Yarrowia lipolytica: one gene and its partner. The protein of the gene in region 1 purifies or fractionates together with the protein of each later gene. This does not show direct contact. Links are inferred from orthologs where the notes say so. Each region holds a gene or a part of one and is shown in the gene's direction. Other genes may lie near its edges.

Region 1 (4,131 bases):
AAGGTGAACGCGCCCAGGGTCTTTGATATGTGGGGTTCTCGCCCTTCCATCCACACAAGAATGTTTCTGCGGTTGTACGCGAGGCTGTAGGTCTTCTTGCGGTTTCACATCACGTGGGAAAAGGGCAAATCACGTGAATCGCCTTCGCGTCGCCAACACACACACACACACACACACGACACGAACACACTTCATCCCTTGTTAGCACTCAAACTCTTGTCGGCCGTCCAAGCATAACGTTGTGCGCGTGATTCATGTGCGTGTCAAAGGACATAAGGAGGCTTTTTGCGAGCGGAAAAGCGTGAAACGATAAAGCCGAGTTGAGCAGTCACGTGACGAGACGTGTATCGACAGCCCCCGGTACCTCTAGTCACGTGATTCGTTCGACGCGCGCGCCGTGGTCACCCTTTTGAACGTAACCGGCCCGGAAACTCTGACGGGCGGTTGTGATACAAGGAGAAGGAGAAAGAAAGAAGGAAAAAAAAAGCACTCTGAATGGACCAACTCTTTTTGCGATGAGATGAGGTGGATCACACAGCAGAGTGCAGATCTGGTATTGTGATTGTCGACAGCACGCTACCGTAGTACATTTGTTTGGCACTTCTTTGTTCTCCTGTCAGTCTCCACTGCACAGCCCAGTGGGGTGGAGTGGAGGGGAATGGAATGGATGACACCAGCTGTAAGTGGACCAACATGACATTTGGTGTGGCCCACTATGTATTTGTACTGACAGACTGCTTTTGTACCATTGTCGTACAAGGAACACGTTCCGCCCCACCGGTGACCCTGAGACGCGTGGTGCCCCTGAACCAGCTGAGTTTGAGGTTGAGTTAGGGGGAGGCTTGAGGGGTTGGTGGTGAGTGATGTCTTGAGGAGTACACTGTACAGTACGAGCACGAGCACGAGCGTGAGTGTGAGTACAAGTATGAGTATGACCAGGAGTATGGGTATTCGTACAAGTTTGGATCTATTGGTACTGGTGGAGCGGCGATATGAATGTTCTTGTGATCTGGGACTCTATCTACAGCCTCTTGCATCCAATTGAGTCTTCTCCACCTAACTACATTACCTCTTTGGTCTGGGTTTCAGTCGATATCCTTCGTATCGGTTGTTTCTGGCGTTGCAGACGTCGGGGCGGCTTGGCAACGGCACCTGTGCATTTCCGGGAAAAGAGGCCCGAGTGGACAGAGATTGGGACATGTAGCAGCTGGAGGAGACGGCCAAAACGGACGGGAAGTCGAAAAATCAACCCCGTGGTCCCCAATCGCCCAGAGCCCGTCGTCATGGTCTTCATCTGCACAGCCTAGACACAGCCTCTGGGGCCCGAAAAATAACTCGGGAGCCTAAACACGTCAGCTCACCCAACAGGCAAGCGTGCAACTTTGGGGGCGATAACCGCAAAGTTCAGCTGCAATAGGCGTGTTGTGAAAACAGGAGGGTTGGGAGGGATGGCTAAAAATAAACTGACTCCTGGGACCAGCTTTGGATGCGGGCCGATTTCTCCCGGTGTAGATAGGCCGACTCCACGACGCGTCGTATTATTTTCCCGACCGGTCAAGCTCATCGCTTGGCGCCAAGAATTTCACCCCCAAGAAACTAAATACCTCACTCCACACCACCGGTGCAAGGGCGAAGATGCCGTCTCTTGGCTGCGTAACAGAGTTGGCCCTAAGATGCGTCGTCCCACACAGTGTAGGAGCAGAGTTTGCGAAAAGTCGAGGGGGCCTTGCTTTGTCGTTGCCCAAAGTGGAAAAAGCCAATTGCCAGTCTACAACAAACACATATAGTGGCTTCTCTGCCCAGGCCGGCTCCCTTTTTTCCTATCACCCCGCTTCCCATACACCTTCTCTTGCCTCCCCCTCTCCAAAATGAAGTTCTCAGCGGTCTCAATCGCTGCTGCCCTGGCCTCGCTGGTGGCAGCAGCAGACGTGCCCTCTATTGACATTGTGGGCAACAAGTTCTTCTACTCCAACAACGGCTCTCAATTCTACATCCGAGGAGTGGCCTACCAGCAGGACTCGGCCAACGAGACAGCCAAGGAGACCTTTTCGGACCCTCTGTCGGACGGCGACGCCTGTAAGCGAGACCTGCCCTACCTGGTGCAGCTCAAGACCAACGTGCTTCGAGTGTACGCCATCGACACCACCAAGGACCACGACACATGCATGCAGCTCTTCAACGACGCCGGCATCTACGTCATTTCCGATCTCTCACAGCCCGGCGAGTCCATCAACCGAAACTCGCCCTCGTGGGACGTGGATCTGTACCAGCGATACACCAGCGTAGTGGACACCATGCAAAAGTACCCCAACATGCTGGGTTTCTTTGCCGGAAACGAGGTCACTAACAACAACACCAACACCGATGCGTCTCCCTACGTCAAGGCTGCCATCCGAGACATGAAGTCGTACATGAAGGAGAAGTCGTACCGATCCATTCCCGTCGGATACGCCACCAACGATGACGAGAAGACCCGAGACGACCTGGCCACCTATTTCCAGTGCGGCAACGCCTCCGAGGCAGCCGATTTCTACGGAATCAACATCTACGAGTGGTGTGGAGACGCCACCTTTGAGTCCTCCGGTTACCAGCAGCGAACCGAGGAGTACAAGAACTTCACCATCCCCATCTTCTTCTCCGAGTACGGCTGCAACCGAGTCAAGCCGCGACAGTTCTCCGACGTGCCCGTTCTGTTTGGCCCCAACATGACCGACGTCTGGTCCGGAGGAATCGTCTACATGTACTTTGAGGAGCAGAACCAGTACGGTCTGGTGTCTGTTTCCGGAAGCTCCGTCTCCACTCTCGACGACTTCAACAACCTGTCTTCGCAGATGGCTAAGATTTCTCCTTCCTCCGCCAACACCAACGACTACAAGCCCTCTCAGACCGCTGGTGGCGTCTCGTGCCCCGACTTCAACGCCAACTGGAAAGGCTCTCCCACCCTGCCTCCCACCCCCAAGGTCGGAACCTGTCAGTGCATCAACGATGGCTCTTCTTGTGTCGTCAACTCGGACACTAACGCCAAGAACTACGGCGATCTCTTTGGAGAGCTGTGCGGTAACCTCGATGTGGACTGCTCCGAGATCCAGTCCAACGGAACCTCCGGCAAGTACGGAGACCTGTCCTTCTGTGACGCCAAGCAGAAGCTCAACTTCCTCATGGGCAAGTACTACGACTCCCAGAACGGCAACTCTCAGGCCTGCGACTTTTCTTCCCAGGCCTCCATTGTCCAGAGCCCCAAGACCGGATCCAACTGCCAGAACGCCCAGGCCACTGCTGTCTCTTCCGGCTCGTCCGGCTCTTCCGGCTCGTCCGGCTCTGGATCTTCGGGCTCTGGATCGTCCGGATCCTCGGGCTCTGGCTCGGGCTCTGCTAAGGGCTCTGCTGCTGCCGCTGCCTCTGGCTCGGCCGCCGCCTCGTCCTCCAAGGGCGGAAACAAGAAGAGCGCCGGCGCCTCGCTGGCTGCCGAGAAGGTGGTTGCCTCCGTCGTGTTTGGCGCCATCGCCATCATGGCCGTTATTGTTTAACATTCTAAAAAGTTAGATCGGAAGAGCGGTTCAGCATTCATTTGTAGGTAGTACAAAAATGGGGGTGGGGGGGGGGGGGGCAGATTTGTGGTGTCAATTGTGGTGTCAAAATGAAGCTGAGCAAGCGACCTTTTCAAATGTCTCAAAAAAGCGTCATCGGCCAATCACAAGTGCCGAGAAATGGTCAGATCACAAATTTTTCAAGATAGTTTTTCACATTATAGAGTAACCTCGAGTAATTTTTAACTTAACAAATACCTCAATAAACTACTTGGGAATACTACCAAAAATACTAGCAAAATACTCCACCACGGGTCGTAAAACTGCACTATTTATTGTGCATCCGACTCCACGGATGGTTCCAGACGTTGACAAGACACTAAAAACACCGCTACCTGTACGTGTAGGACCAGTGCCCTGAATTTTGCCAAAATTTCGCAGATTTTCGCCAAAATGACGCTAGCAAGAAAATTGGCGCGTCACGAGCACGTGGTGAAAACCCAAGACCCAAACTGAATCTGCGCTGTACTACCACTCACCCAAACAGGCCATGGATTATCAGATCTGCAGACGTGGCGGGGCCCGGTTGCTGGATGGGGACAAG
Region 2 (3,085 bases), on another chromosome or scaffold:
GCCACCATTCAATGGTCTGAAACAGATAGTAGTTGGACGAGAGCTGGAGACGTGGAAAAACCTCCGGAAGCCATTGCAAGCCTATCGTAATCGCTGCGAGAATGAGGAACATGACCATGGCGCGAGAGATAATGAGCACTACTAAAACGAACCTTGCGTGAATTCTAAGTATGATACAGCATAAGGTGAGTGCAGCATTGTACAGTATGTACACACACAATCTGAGAGACACAACACTACACAAAACAACAGTAGTTATCATATGACGTATAAATTACTAATTACAACAAGGCCTTGGCAATCTTGGCATCTCCAATCTCAATTTCTTCCTCCTCTTCTTCTTCCTCGTCACCCTCACCCTCGTCTCCCTCTTCTCCCTCCTCGTATTCGCTATCTTCATCTCGTACCTGCTTTTGCTGGGCCTTGACCTTATCCTGCTTGGCACGCTCATCCTTGAACTTGGCGGCTTTGGCGTCCTCAACCTTTTTGGCCTCCATAGCCTTGGCCTGGGCATCGGAAGCCGGCCGCTTCTTGCCCAGCTTCTCAGCCAGGTCGGTGGGGCTGGCGTTAGAGTCTTCAGCCCCAGTGGCAGCCCCAGCTCGAGCCTCAGCGGCCCCAGCGGCATCGTCTGCATCCATGTAGTCCTCAAGCTCTTCAAGGTCATCTTCCTCCTCCTCTTCCTGCTCCTCCAGCTCCTCCTCCAGATCCTGCAACTTCTTTTGGGTTTTGGCCTTGTTTACCTCGTCAGCCTCGTCGGCCTTAACAGCCTTGCCACCAGCCTCAGACTTGAGAGGCTTTGTGTCCTTGGAGTTGGCGGCAGGCTTCTCAGCCTTCTCAGGCACTTGGGCAGGGTCAGCGGCAGGAGCTCCCTTTCGAGCATTCACCTTGATTTTGGCATCCTCCTTCTTAGCAGCAACAGTGGGCTTGGGCTTGGGCTTCCCCAGCACAACCTCCTGCTCTCGAGGGTCCTTTCTCAACGGAGCAGGCTTCTTTTTGACCAGAGCCAGCTCGGGCTCGTTTGGATCAGAGTTGTCTCGCATTTGCATCAACATGACGGTGGCAATGAGCGAAAAAACGAAAATGTATGCAATGGCCCGTTTGGCGGTGTTTGTGATGAACCCAGGCTTCTGCCGGGGCACAAAGCTGGGGTCTAGACCCTTGCCTCCTCGAGGCTGGGCTAGCGTGAAGTGGTTGCCACCCAGATCGTTTCGAAAGGCCAGTTTCTCGCCGTATCCCATGGTTGCGTGCTTGTTAGGGTGGTGATGTACTGTACTTCTGCTGGAGGTGCACCGCTGATGTCATGCGATGAGGTATATACTCCCGTGAAATCTGGGTTAGGTTTGGGAGAATGTGATTTCTGGAGGGTGTACGCACAGTAAACGCAATGAGACACGGAATGTCGCGTGATAGAGATTGGGATTTTCGGCACAGTCGATCATTTTGTATATTGCTAGCTACTCGTAGCCGGTATATATGTTATGTTATGTTGTACTTGTACATACTATACACCTTATTGGGTATGTATGGGTTTGGTCTGGGTGAGGAGTATGTACAAGTGATCTCAATAATACTCGTAACCTGTCAAATTCTTGGAGAAAAACATGCCTGTCTTGTAAATATTGGATTATAACTCGTTTTTTCCGGTCCTAAGCAATTTTCCGCTCTTGTATTCAAGTACTGTCCCCCTTCACAGTCTCCACTCTCAAATTCACTATTACGCTTGCTCGCGTTTTTAGGTTTGGGAATCCTTTAACGTGTCATTTGTATCCTGTGCACTGCGACCTTGATCTTCCTCCAACACCAACACAAAACACAACATGAAGTTCCTCGTTTGTCTTCTGGTTCTGGCGCTGGCCTCCGTGGTCAGCGCTCACAACGTGCTCCTGCTGCCCTGGAAGCGACAGTGCTTCTACGAGGATGTCAAGAAGGGTGACACTCTGGCCGTGTCTTTCCAGGTCGGAAACCGAGACCCCCAGGCCGGTGGACAGCTTGCTGTCGACTTTGTGGTGAGTATTATATGAAAAGGGACGGCAGGAATGGTGGATTGAATCGTTTTCGGCGCGTGACGCGTCGAATTATCGTGCCATACAACTAACAAAGATCAACGACCCCCATGGAAACCAGGTTGTCAAGCAGCACGAGGTTCCTGACGGAGACGTCCAGGTGCCCATCCAGGTCCCCGGCAGATACGAGTACTGCTTCTCCAATGAGTTCTCCGGCATTGGTACCAAGGATGTGACCTTCAACGTGCATGGTGTCATTGTCATTGATCTCAACCAGCTGACCGACGACGCTCTGGATCAGGAGATTGCCAAGCTCAACCAGGTTGTGCAGGAGGTGCGAAACGAACAGAGCTACATTGTTGTTCGAGAGCGAACCCACCGAAACACTGCTGAGTCCACAAACGCCCGAGTCAAGTGGTGGAACATTCTGCAGCTGGGTGTTGTTGCCGTCAACTCTCTGTTCCAGATCTACTACCTTAAGCGATTCTTTGAGGTCAAGACTTTGGTTTAATGGGATAAAAATACATGTTCATTGGTTACAAGTGCGAGGCATTTCGTGTAGTGTGGTGTTTCACCGCCGTGGGGCGTATTATGACGTGTAAGATATGGTGATGTACAAGTACCATAGTGGATCTGGGGATGTTTATTACTATTCCTCGTGTTAATCTGTGTATTCTAATCTATATAATATACTGTGAAGCTGTCAGGGGTTCTAGTTAGCGTGGCGTGGTGAGTGTACATTCTGTACAGTATGTACTCTATCGGGTCATAAAGTCGACAATCAGAGAGTTAAACGCTCGGGTGTTATCAAGATAAATATGGTGACCTGCTCTCTTGACCAGCTTGAACACGCTCTGGGTGTTGTTTTCATTGCTGGCGTTTCGGTTGAGAGTCTGGGTGGCCTCGGCTCCTGCCTCGGCATTCATCCAGTCCTTCTCTCCGTACATCCACATGGTGGGACACTTGATTTTGTCAAGGCGATCCAGTAGAGGCATTCTAGCCAGTGCTACAGGCTTGAGAAGCCGAGTCAGAGCCAGCTCTCCAGACGCCTTGCTGTCCATGAGCTTGTAGGAGTACAGATG

What was found.
Region 2: the proteins of YALI1_D07729g (region 1) and YALI1_E41399g purify together in Saccharomyces cerevisiae (affinity purification with western blotting; 3 studies listed by BioGRID). This does not show direct contact. The link is inferred for Yarrowia lipolytica from reciprocal best matches to the Saccharomyces cerevisiae genes GAS1 and EMP24.

Annotation. Positions count from the first base shown.
Region 1 is NC_090773.1:770,704-774,834, reverse strand, and holds YALI1_D07729g (uncharacterized protein), read left to right. Parts: upstream 1-1,868; coding exon 1,869-3,527; downstream 3,528-4,131.
Region 2 is NC_090774.1:4,138,107-4,141,191, forward strand, and holds YALI1_E41399g (uncharacterized protein), read left to right. Parts: upstream 1-1,817; coding exon 1,818-2,006; intron 2,007-2,100; coding exon 2,101-2,514; downstream 2,515-3,085. Other genes in the region: YALI1_E41393g (uncharacterized protein), read right to left, coding at 282-1,238; YALI1_E41421g (uncharacterized protein), read right to left, coding at 2,762-3,085. UniProt on the Saccharomyces cerevisiae protein: Constituent of COPII-coated endoplasmic reticulum-derived transport vesicles. Required for efficient transport of a subset of secretory proteins to the Golgi.